Oryctolagus cuniculus: one gene and its partners. The protein of the gene in region 2 purifies or fractionates together with the protein of the main gene of each other region. This does not show direct contact. Links are inferred from orthologs where the notes say so. Each region holds a gene or a part of one and is shown on either strand. Other genes may lie near its edges.

The links.
Region 1: the proteins of CDK5RAP2 (region 2) and PCNT purify together in Homo sapiens (co-immunoprecipitation; 4 studies listed by BioGRID and IntAct, with this or other methods). This does not show direct contact. The link is inferred for Oryctolagus cuniculus from reciprocal best matches to the Homo sapiens genes CDK5RAP2 and PCNT.
Region 3: the proteins of CDK5RAP2 (region 2) and PDE4DIP purify together in Homo sapiens (affinity purification with mass spectrometry; 3 studies listed by BioGRID and IntAct, counting the BioPlex papers as one, with this or other methods). This does not show direct contact. The link is inferred for Oryctolagus cuniculus from reciprocal best matches to the Homo sapiens genes CDK5RAP2 and PDE4DIP.

The regions. Positions count from the first base shown.
Region 1 is NC_091435.1:550,364-554,713, reverse strand, and holds the start of PCNT (pericentrin), read left to right. Parts: upstream 1-1,524; 5' UTR 1,525-1,616; coding exon 1,617-1,742; intron 1,743-2,592; coding exon 2,593-2,799; intron 2,800-4,350. UniProt on the Homo sapiens protein: Integral component of the filamentous matrix of the centrosome involved in the initial establishment of organized microtubule arrays in both mitosis and meiosis. Plays a role, together with DISC1, in the microtubule network formation.
Region 2 is NC_091432.1:224,487,659-224,491,747, forward strand, and holds the start of CDK5RAP2 (CDK5 regulatory subunit-associated protein 2), read right to left. Parts: upstream 2,877-4,089; 5' UTR 2,688-2,876; coding exon 2,632-2,687; intron 1-2,631. UniProt on the Homo sapiens protein: Potential regulator of CDK5 activity via its interaction with CDK5R1. Negative regulator of centriole disengagement (licensing) which maintains centriole engagement and cohesion. Involved in regulation of mitotic spindle orientation.
Region 3 is NC_091438.1:50,619,529-50,623,151, reverse strand, and holds part of PDE4DIP (myomegalin), read right to left. Parts: intron 1,614-3,623; exon of another isoform or gene 1,551-1,613; intron 907-1,550; coding exon 775-906; intron 1-774. UniProt on the Homo sapiens protein: Functions as an anchor sequestering components of the cAMP-dependent pathway to Golgi and/or centrosomes.

The DNA of each region.
Region 1 (4,350 bases), on a different chromosome or scaffold from region 2:
TCAGTTTTAATCCATTTCTACTTAAGAGACTTTTTCATCAAATGAGGCCTCTGTTGATCCAATTTCGTACCATGTAAAACTGCATCCTCAGGGCTGGCGCTATGGCGCAGTGGGTTAAGCCGCTGTCTACACTGCCAGCATCCCGTATCGCTCCCAGTTCGAGTCCCGGCCGCTCTGTTTCTGGTCATCCTCTCGCTGCCTGGCTTTCTCCGGGGAAGGGGCCCCTGTGACCCTCGAGGGGCAGCCCGCAGGTGGACAGCGGGGGAGGGCGTGGGAGCACCCCTAACCCCTCCCAGCGGCGGGCGCCTTCGGGGTCTGCCTCAGCTTCCAGAGGAGCTCCGACAACTGAGGAACGCTCTCCACACAAAGGTCTGGCCTGTGGGACCGACCCGGACCAGCGACGGCTCCAAGAGGCTCTGCCCGCCCGTGGCAGGCAGTCCGACTTCCTGCAGCCTCGACCCCTCAGACGGTCCGCACGCGACCCAGCCTGGATCCGCTGCCAGGGCCAGCCTCACCTCAGAGCGGAGAAATCGGCCACCCGGAAGCGACCGCACGGCGCGTCAGGCCCGCAGCCGGGGAGCGCCGCACCTCACACACCCGCAGCGGCACAAACCCGCCCATTTTAAACCTAACCAACAGCTGAGCGGTCCTCTCAGAAGGGGCAGGCACGTCAGCGCACCAATCGCAGCCCGGCGAGCAGCAGGGGCGGAGCCTCCCCCGGGCCGCTCCTCCTTGACTGCGCGTGCGCGAAAGCGGGAACGCGGGGTCCTCATTGGCGACGCAGCGGGGCGGGCCGACGGCGGGGCGGGCCCACAGTGCGTGACAGTTGTCGCTGGGGGAGGGCGAGCCCTGGCGCGGGGGAGGGAGTGTCAATAGAGCGAAGTCGGCGCCGTGTCTACACCGCCAGCTCCGGGCGACTCGTGAAGACTCCAAGAGGGAGATGGAAGAGGATGAGCAAGAGCAGCGGCGCCGAAAGGTGGAGGCTGGGAGAGCGAAGGTAAACGGCAGCACGCCTCTCCTCCCGCTGCCCCAGCGTGAAGTCTCCGGGGCAGGCTCCGGTGCTTGCCGCCGCCCTCTGCCAGGAGCGGACGCGGTTAGGCGTGGAGCCACCGCCAGGCCTTGCCTTTCCCGCCGTCTCCACTGGAAGTTTTCTCCTGACCGCCGCCATCTTGAATCCGCCGCCCTCTGCGCGGGCCCGCCCCCACTGCGGCTGTAGCCAATCCGCGGCCGGGACGGGAGCGCCTGGCGGGTAGGCGGGGCGAGGCGGGGCTGCGCCTGCGCTCTGGTGTTCTGCCGACCCCGCCCCGTTTCCCGGGAGACGTGATGGCGTTCTCCGGGGCGCTGCGCGCCTTTGGCCTTGTGAGCGGCGCGTGCGGCCCCGGGCGCTCCGCCCACTCGCGGGTTTTTACCTGGGTCAGCCTGGGGCCTGGCCCGGCGCACATTGGCGCTCTCCGTGCGGGTGTCACCTGCGTGAGCGGGACCCGCCTGAGGAAGCGTTCGGGGCTGGTTCTCTCGGTGCGGGGCAGTGACAGGGACCGCAGAACCGGATCCTCACTTGGCTTCCTTTGGCGGGGTGTCCGGACGGCCTGAGGCAGGCTGCTCGCCAGGATGCGAAAATGAGCCGGAGCCCAGAGCTTCCGCATGTGTTCCCCGAGGTCCGCAAGGAGAGCCAGCGTGCTCCTAGGAGCCTGGGAAGTCATGAGTCCAAGGCCTGTGGCGGGGCCGCGTCCGTGCTTCAGAAAGTGAGGGAGGGCACGTGGGGAATAAAGCTGGGGTTGGCTTTGGAGGCAGTGTTCAGCCTTGATGTGGTTTTTTCCAAAAGTAAATGACCCGGTGTCCATGAAATGTGCACTTACGGTCCAAGTTACCATGCGAGGAACACGGGCCCCCTGTTGTTGGACCTCATGCCCTTTGCGTGAGGCGGGGGGTGACCACGTAGGAAAGCTCTCAGAGTTGAGGGGCTGAGCAGAGCTAGGCTGTATCTTCTGACGGACGACATTCTGTGGAGGTCCCTGGTGCTTTGGTGAGCTGTGTCATGAAAAATGGAACATCTGATTCCGTAAAGGAAGATGTTAGATTGACCTGGCTTAATTAATTTTTTGCTATTTTGGTAGCTTGTCTCAGATTCTATGGCTAGGAAGTTTTGGCTGGAATATATATTTCCTCGGTTGGGGGAAAAGGGCAAGAAGGGAGCGATTTAGCTTTTTGTAATTTTGAACCTAAAACATGCCTTGATTAGTCTATCCGGCCTTTAAATAGAGTTAAGGTTAAAAATCCTAATTTTCTCCTAAACCGCTAAGGGTCAGAAAAGCGATTCTGCCAGTCAGCTCTATTGTTTCTTTTGCCTGGATATAGGCATCCTCAATGTCCTCATTACTAGACTCTTTTTAGATAATTCTGAACTTAATGCTGGAGTCGTAGATACTAATGAAGGCAGCGTTTGTGGGAGAGTGATCTTATTGGCCAGGTGTGGCTGCGTGGACCGAGTCAGCGCTAGAGCCTCATGTTCCCCTCGAGTCTGTTGACTTTGTGGTTCTGTTATTTTTTTCTCACTTACCTTTGCCTTTACTACTTCTCCACGTTCTTGCGCAGCTTGCTCACTTCCGACAGAGAAAAACAAAAGGTGACTGTGCGCATTCGAAGAAAAAGACGGCGAAGAGGAAGGGCTCGGCTGTCCATGCGCCTGTCCAGGAGGAGAGCCCGGTAGCCGCTGAGGACAGTGGACTCTTTGGAGTGAGGGACGTGTACAACACATGCTGCGAAACCCCTGACGGGGCGACAGGGGCGTTTGCGGCTGAGGTAGGTTTCCTCAGCGTTGTGTTTTCACAGTTTGCTCTTTTTGTCATTGCTAGTGTAACTTACCAAAAGTAGACTTTGGTCTGCTTTTCCCTTTCAAAGGTGGGAAAGAGAGTTTGTTTTAGTTTACAAAAGGTGAGTAAATTTTAATAATGGTTTTACTGTTTTTAAGTATTTTGTCTTTATTATATGAATTTAAGAAATTTTGAATTGATACCTAAATAAGATAGTGTTAATTTCAGTGGTTGTTTTAGTTAGGGCAAGTTTTATAAGTGTGACTTGTGTTTGGTGTGTTGCGGTTGCGTGGGAGGTTGTCATATGTGGTGTGTGTATCAACCCCTTTAACATGAGTTTCTTTGGACACTTAGAGTACTTCTTCATCTACTCTCATATGTACCGGCCTGTTATCTTTGTCCTTTACCTTCTTACTGAAGGTGATGAGATGGGAAGAGTTGTAGGTGTCATAGAAATGCGGTATTTCTGGAGGAGGCTGGCTGACTGGCTGGCTAAGGCCTTGTGAGCAGCCTGGGTGAGCCCCTGGGGGCAGGTGCAGCAGGTGAGTGGCTGTTGAGGGTGCTGCAGGTACTGTCTCTCATGGCTCCCCTGGCTCTCCAGATCTGCCCTTAGGTGGAATCTCCCTGGGATGGTTTCTCGTGTGGATTATAAGTGAGTTGCCTTGAATCTTGAGTGTCCCTGCTCTGTGCAACAGGGTGGGTGTTGGTTTAGGTCTTTGCTAGGATGAGCTGGAAAATACAAATTTACAGAACTTGGAATAGAATTTTGAGGGCAGAATTTGGCTCAGTCATGATGTGTCTGGCCTGCCTTATTCATAAAAGATTAATTGTCACCAGCATGTAAAACTTGTGATAGTCTCCCTACAAATGTGGAATTTTACTTCTTTTTTTTTTTTTTTTTTTTTTTTTTTTTTTTTTTTTACTTTTTTGACAGGCAGAGTGGACAGTGAGAGAGAGAGAGACAGAGAGAAAGGTCTTCCTTTGCCGTTGGTTCACCCTCCAATGGCCGCCGCGGCCGGCGCACTCCGCTGATCCGATGGCAGGAGCCAGGTGCTTCTCCTGGTCTCCCGTGGGGTGCAGGGCCCAAGGACTTGGGCCATCCTCCACTGCACTCCCGGGCCACAGCAGAGAGCTGGCCTGGAAGAGGGGCAGCCGGGACAGGATCCGGTGCCCCGACCAGGACTAGAACCCGGTGTGCTGGCACCGCAAGGCGGAGGATTAGCCTAGTGAGCTGCGGCGCCAGCCTGGAATTTTACTTCTTTAAAAAATTTTAAGACCTTGCTGTGGTGCTCCCATGGATTCCCTGAGGCCAAGCCTGCTGTGTTGCTGTGGATTCATTCTGAGAGGAGGAGAATGTTGTGGGCAAGAGGCACGGAATCATGACACAGACACCAGGAGGGAGTCAGGTGAAAGCGGGCCAGAGACCAGCAGCCTGCAGACTCGTCTATTTCAGTTGGTGCAGCAGCTTATATAGCTGAGGCAGCCAATCCGGTTAAGGGGTGGTTTATGCCGTAATCAATCACTGCCTGCTGCCAGGCAG
Region 2 (4,089 bases):
AGGGAGGAGCTGGGGAAGATGCAGACAGATTAGCTATCAGGAAGTGTGCAACACCCTGGTCCTGCAAAGGCAGGGAGAGGAGGGAAAGGAGAGTATTTGCTATTCTGTTGAGTAAACTCATTTTAATCCTTATGCTAATCCTGGGCTTAGCACAAACCCATTTTATAGATGATGAAAATTGAAGTTAAAAGAGGATGAGTGACTTATCAAGGTCACAGGGTAAAGTAGCAGAACTGGGATTCAAACTGAGCTAGGTCTGGGTCCCAAAGCCAAGTATTTGGTCAACCAGCACTGAGATGAGAGTGGCGCCAGCTGAGAGAGTAATGGGCTTTATCCTCATGGCAATAAAAAGTGTTCAAAGTACTTAGCAGCAGACTGTGGGGATCAGATTTATATTTAATAGTTTTCCAATCCAGTTAAGAAATGGGCAAAGGACTTGAACAGGCATTTTTCAAGAGATAATACAAACGGCCAACAGACACATGAGAAAATGCTCGGGATCACTAGCCATCAGGGAAATGCAAATCAAAACCACATGAGGTTTCACCTCACCCCCAGTTAGAATGGCCCTCATAAGAAATCAACAAACAATAAATGCTGGCAAGGATGTGGGGAAAATGGAAACCCAGCTCACTGCTGATGAGGATGTATTTCAATGCAGCCACTGTGCTAGGATGGAGATACCTCAGAAATCTAAATACAGACCTGCCATATGACCCAGCCATCCACTCCCAGGAATTTTCTCAAATGAAATGAAATCTGCGTATCAAAGAGTGATCTGTACCCTCATGTTTATTGCAACTTATTTCACAACAGCTAAGATACAGAATCAACTCAGATGCCCATCAACTAAAGACTGGATAAAGAAATTATTCTATATATATACTATAGAATACTATACAGCAGTTAAAAAAATGAAGTCCTTTCATTTGCAACAAAATGGATGCCACTGGAAACCATTATAGTTAGTGAAATAAGCCAGTCCCAAAGTGACAAATATCATGTTTTCCCTGATCTATATAACTAATAGAGTACCTAAAAGGTAATCTATAGAAGTAAAATTGACATTTTGAAACTTGATATTTGTTTACAGGCCTTTACTGTTGAGGAACAGTGCTTTTTTTCTTCATACTATTTGTTGAACTCTTCACTTAGTTTAGGGTTAATCTTATGAGTACAAAGTTAACGGAAAACAGATATTTGTAAAAATTAAGAATAGGAATAAGAGAGGGAGGAGGAAGAAGGGTGGGAGTGTGGGCAGGAGGAAAGGTCGGGGAGGAAGTATTAGTATGTTCCTGAATCTGCATATAGGAATACATGAAATTTGTATACCTTAAATAATTTTTTAAAAAGCTAGCCATATTCTAAAAAAAAAAAATAGAGTTTTCAAGCTGTAGTATTAACAACTGCTGGTGGTTAAAGGAAGCCAGAACAGTACAGGTGAGAGGCAGTGGTAGTAGTGGTGGTTAAGATGAAGAGAAGGGACATAATGAACTTCCACAAAGATCTGATTAGGCAAAAGCTGCAAAGAGCTTTGTACGTGATACACAGAGTACGCATCTTCCAGATTTGCCCAGGACACCACCGCTGGATTCCTACCTTGCTGTTCAGGCACACATACTGACTGTGCCCAAGTTACTCTTAAAAGCATCCAGTTTACACATTAAATAACAATTTCATTCACTAAGAATCTGTTGAGCAAAAGCAGCAGCCTGTCCCTAGGAAAACTAGGTAAGCAGTGTGGGTTCCGTCAGGACTCTCCTCCCCTTCCTTCCATCTACTCTCCCATCAGGACCCAGGTACAACCCGAGACCCAGCCCAGAGCAGTCTAGGACCCAAGCAGAACCTCCTGCCACAGAGACCCCAGCCCCACCAGCAATGGGGACTTGGAAGGCCACTCTCAGCCATTAGTCCTCAATCTCCATCACTACTGATCATAGTAAGGACAATGGCAACACTAGAGCATTTTTTCAGCACTCATTGTATGCCAGGCACTAACTACACTTGCCCAGTGAACTGCCTCTTTCAATCTTCACCCCATTCTGCTGCGTGGATATTAACACCGGCCCACTGTGCAGATGGGAAATCAGATTCAGTCACTTTACCAAGGCCACCAGATGACTACTTTATAAGTCTGAATTTGAATCCAGTTCTAACTCCAGCCAAGGAACTTAAACACTGTACTTCACTGCTTCCATCCTCCGTCGCGACTCTGTGACCTTAATAAGAAAAGTCTGGGCGCTGGCACTACCTCCCCCACGATGAAAGCAAACCCGTGCCCAGGGTGAGCCATCAAACACCCTCAAGACCCCCGTCCCACAACCAGCCCCCAACTACTAGCATACTCCAAGTGGTCCCCCTCGGCCTGCTCTTTCAGAAAGCCCCTTAACCCGGCTTTCACCTCCTCTTCCAAGAGCGCCCCAAAACAACAGAAGCGAGTGTGGGGCCAGTGGGGACCCCCACACGATCAACGCAAAGCCTCCCTCCGTAAAATAACCTGAAGTAGGCAGGCATACACACACACTGCCCGGGACCAAACACTCCAACACCCGCAAGAGCAAACCCCAGGGCCCCATCAGCGGAGAGCCCAGCCTGATGACCGCGAACCCCCTCACTGTGCCCGGGCCGCACCTGCAGCCGCTGAGCGTCCCAGGGAGGCTGACGTCCTCTTCCAACACCGAGTCCATAGCGGATGAAAAGGCGATGGTGGCGCTGGTGCCTGTGGGGGCGGCGCCACTGGTTGCCCCCGCTGTGGCGACCCGCCCGTCTCCCCCGGTCCCCGCCCCCCTTCCAACCCAGCTCTTGTTCTGACTCCCGCGGCGCCGCTGGAATTCAAACCACAGCGGCCGCCATATTTCCCGGCGCTTCTTCCTGCGGAAACAAGGCGGGGCCACGGACGCGCGCTGTGAAGCCAACCTGCGGCGGCGAGAGGCAGGGCAGGGAAGCGGCAATGGGCGCCATCTTAACTAAGGGCAGAACGTCGGCGCTTTAGCCCATAAAACTAACGAAAGAGAAGGAGCTGCCATTTTTTATGAGGGCATTCCCGCAGGAGCCCGCAGGTGCCATCTTTGTTGAGGGCAAAAACTGACTGTGGTCCGTTAGTTTAAGCGGGAGATGGGAATACAGTTCCTATGGGAACTTCAGAGTTCCTGAGGCGGTATTTGCTTTTCTAGAATGATGACTCTTTGGATCTGTGTCTCCAAAAGGCTCCCACCCATATACTAAGATGCTGATTCACTTTAGAAAAATCCTACCTGTGGAATCCTAGTTGTTTGCACACGTAGTTTGAAACAAATGGTTCCTCCCTCCGATACAAGGGGTCAGACTCCACTCCAAGCTCGCACTTAGTGGTCCTTTATTACCATTACTACTAAAACGCGCCTGCAATAGCTAAACCAAGGCTCGAAAGGAGTGATTCCCCCCTTAGTAATATGCACTAAGTCTGTGAACTGGAGCCAGATCCGTGGCTCCTGCCAACTAAATGAGGACTCTCCTGAGGCTGGCATTGTGCTACAGCAGGTTAAGCCCACCTCCCATATCAGAGGGCCCACAGAGTGCCTGATTCTAGTCCCAGCTAGTGCACTTTCAATCCAGCTTCCTGTTAATGCATGCCCTGGGAGGTAGCAAGGTGATGGTTCAAGTACTTGAATCCCTGCCACCCACCTGGGAGACTCGGATGCAGTTCTTGGCCCAGCCCTGACTGTCGTGAGCATTTGAGGAGTGAAAAAGCAGGTAGAAGATCTCTGGCAGAAGATCTCTCCTCTCCTCTCTCCTCTCCTCTCCTCTCCTCTCCTCTCCTCTCCTCTCCTCTCCTCTTCTTCCCTCCTCCTCTTCTCTCCCCTCCCTCAGCATTAGTGAGGCTTTCAGAGCCCAGCCTCTGCACTTGTCCCTCTTCCTTCTGCAGACCCTCAGTGTGGGGAGCAAACCGGACTAGACTGAGTTACTGGAATTAAGACTTATTCTATGCATCTGCTCTCCCACAATATGGCGCTGGGAGAGAAGTAAACAGCTTCCGCACAGCTGCCTCCAGTTCAGCCAATAAACTGTAGGACTTGCTCCTGATTGGAGGAGAGCAGCGTACTCGGCGTG
Region 3 (3,623 bases), on a different chromosome or scaffold from region 2:
CCAGCACAGAACAGGAAGCTACAATGGCACACCAGGCCAGAAGTTTGGCATCCCATATTGTAGCAATTTTCTTCTCAGAACACATTTTTAAATCCATGGGCCATAAAAGGGTAAGAAGTTAAGCTAAACCAAAAAGCACAAACTTCCTGTCCAGGCACCTTTTACAGTTAAAGACTTATTATAACACAAGTTATAATCATACACCTAAAAGGCACACCAGAAATTGTGGTCTGTATAGAGCAAGTAAAATCTAGATAAGAAAGAAAGGGAGAGGCCGGCGCTGTGGCGTAACAGGTAAAAGTCGCCGCCTGTAGTGCCAGCATCCCATATGGGCACCAGTTTGAGTCCCAGCTCCTCCACTTGCAATCCAGCTCTCTGCTATGGCCTAGGAAAGCAGTAGAAGATGGCCCAAGTCCTTGGGCCCCTGCCCCCATGTGGGAGACCTGGAAGAAGCTCCTGGCTCCTGGCTTCGGATTGGCGCGGGTCTAGCCGTTTGCGGCCAATTGAGGAGTGAACCAGAAGATGGAAGACCTCTTTCTCTCTCTGCCCCTCCTTTCTCTGTGTAACTCTGTCTTTCAAGTAAATAAATAAAGGAAGGATGGAAGGAAGGGATGGAGGGACGGAAGCCTATACCTTTAAGTGAAATATTCCCTAGAGCACTAGGAGTCCACAGAATTCATCTCCCACGTCCTATCCAGGTTAACAGGCTCAAGCTAGAGCCAGCACAATCTCAGAAAATCCAGGTGATCTCCAAGGGCATAGAATTCATCATACCTTGTTGGTGGCCTCTGTTTGTTGGATTTTTTCTTGGAGTTCTGCCAAGTGGGAATCAGGTACAGATTGCTGAGTTGTAGTGGTCTCATTTGAATTCACCTTTTGTTGTTTGAGTAACTCTTCAGACATGGGCTAAGAAGAAGTAGTGAGACAAGTTGAATTAAATGAAGCCAACAATAAATGCTATCTTCATATTCAAATGTGTGAGGCATCTTTTGCCAGAGACCTGGAAGATTGGAGCTGTTGTGTGAAATAGCTACATGGTTTCCTGAAGACAGTCCTGTTCCTTATTAGAGCAACAACTCTGGTGCCAGCCTTGTGGTTATGCAATGCTGGCATCCCATATAAGCACTGGTTGTTCACAGCTCCCTGCTGATGTGCCTCGGAAAGCAGCAGAAAATGGTCCAAGTACTTGAGCCCCTGCCTCCCATGTGGGAAACCTGATGGAGTTCAAGGCTCCCAGCTTCAGCCTGGCCCAGCCCCAGCTGTTGCAGCCATTTGGGGAGTAAACTAGCAGATGGAAAATCTGTCTGTCTCTCCCAGGATCTCTCTCTATATATAAATATAAACCTCTGCCTTTCAAATAAATACATCTTTGGGAAAAAATAGTGTTAAAAAAAAAAAAAGAGCACCAATTCCATTCCATCCTTACTATGCCCTGTCCCTCCCCTTCCCTCCCTGCCCTTCCCTACCCACCCATACAAATATACGTATTCACTCAGCAAATACTTCAGTGTTTAAAGAGAAGGGAGGGAGTTACAAAAGAAAATGCTTACAATAGTCAAATATTTGCTTTATCCATTTTGCATCAGGGAATCGGAAAGACTAAGCAAACACATCATTCCTAAGAGAGGAAGTATAATATTCCAATTAACCTTTCTTAAAACATGCCTGTTCACATTACTGGAAAAAAATGGCAGATTTTGAATATGGACTCTGTATTAGACAATAGTATTTTACTAGTACTAATATCCTCAGTTTGGTGATTTCATTGCAGTTGTGTAAGAGATATCCTTGTCCTTAGGAAATACATGTTTAAGTATTTAGGGTAAAGGCTATTATTATAGCTGCAACTAATTCCCAAATGGTTCCAAGATTTTAAAAAATAATAGCAACATGCCTAAACAAAAAGAGCGGGATAAAGCAATCGTGGCAAAATATTAGCTACTGGTAAACCTAGTAAGGGTGGTTCTTTGTATTTCTCTTGCAACCTCCCTGTATACCTGAATCATTCCAAAATAGAAAGGAAAAAGACTTAAATGTAAAACATATGCCTATTTAAAGATAGATTTATAGCACATGTCTGGATAAATAATCCACAGCGGTCAGGGAAGGTGGGGCTTTTTATAAGAATATCAATTCACTAAGACAATCAGACTAAGATAAACTTATTGAACTTAATAATCATCATAAGCCAAGGATATTAAAATAAAATTTAAGGAACTCACTGTGGCATTAAATTTCACCTCCTCTCGCCATACCTTCTTCCACTCCAATCAGCAATCCAATTAGGAAAGGGGGGGGGGGGACAGCTGCTATTCATTTTTTCTTTTACACTTTCACCCTTTATCATCTTCCAGACAGGGGAATCACAAGATATCTTAAAACTCTTCCTGCAAGCAAGTGACTGGAAATACAGAGTTTAGAAGAAAAATATTTCCTATTCCTCTAGTACTACTTATGAAACTTCCTAGCATCAATAACTGCTGTAACATGTGCAGCACCATGTGAGAAATTCAGTGTTGACTAACACATAGCCCTGGCTCCAAACCATCTCAGTCTACTGAGGAAGTAGTAATATCATGAAAATAGAGAAGAAAAACACTCATTTCAAAAGAAGTATAGGAAAGGCTTCTTGGGGGACACAAAATTTAATCTGGAGAGGATCTTTACAGGAGGCTATGGTGGATGAGGAAAGCCATTCTAAGAAGAGAAAAGAGAGAGGAAAATGTAGGGCTAGTGCATACAAAACACTGACTTCCAAACGATACCATTACCTAGAAATGGAGTACTGTATTGGAGCAACCAAGTCCCTGTTCCCTTGAAACTTATATTTTCAGGGGTTGGAATGGGGAGCTATATAATAAAGAAATATACAAAATAGCAGACAGTGACAAACCCCTCTAGCAAAACAGGAAAGCAGGACAGAGAGTTGGCAGCCAGGTGATTAAATTAGTCAGGGAAGGTCTCTGTGAGGCAGCATTTAAATAGAGATCTGAATGAAAAGGAGCCAGTCCTACAGAAGATCAGCAGAGCGTGAGTCTGGGAAAGAGGATGGCCCATGTGGCTAGGGTGGTGCTTTCCAACAGAAACATAATGTGAGCCACATATGGAACTTTTAACTTTCTAATCATTTCATTGGAGAAAGTAAAAAAAAAAAAAAAAAAAGAACTTAAAAAATAAATTTAATACTTTAACCCAATATATACAAAATATCATAAGCATGGAATCAATATAAACATTGTTTAGATATTTTACATAATTTTTTCAGACGAAGACTTTAAAATTCGAGGCACGTTTGACACGGCATATCTTGATTCAGACTAGCTGTATTTCCAGTGTTCTATGGCCACCTAAGGATAGTGGCTAGCTTATGGACAGCACAGGACCAGAGAACAATGGGCAAAGAAAAGTGTAATACCATGAGGTGTATAGGTAGACAGCACCCAGGTCACATGTGGCTTTGGACAGCAGAGTTAATGAACTCGGATTTCATTCTAATTGAATTGAGAGTGGGCTACGGTGTGCATAACAGAAGAGTAATCATAATCAGATGTTCAAAAGATCATTCTTCTTGGCTTAGTGGTGAATGGATTGCTGGGGAGCACCAGTAGAAATGCAGAGAAGGG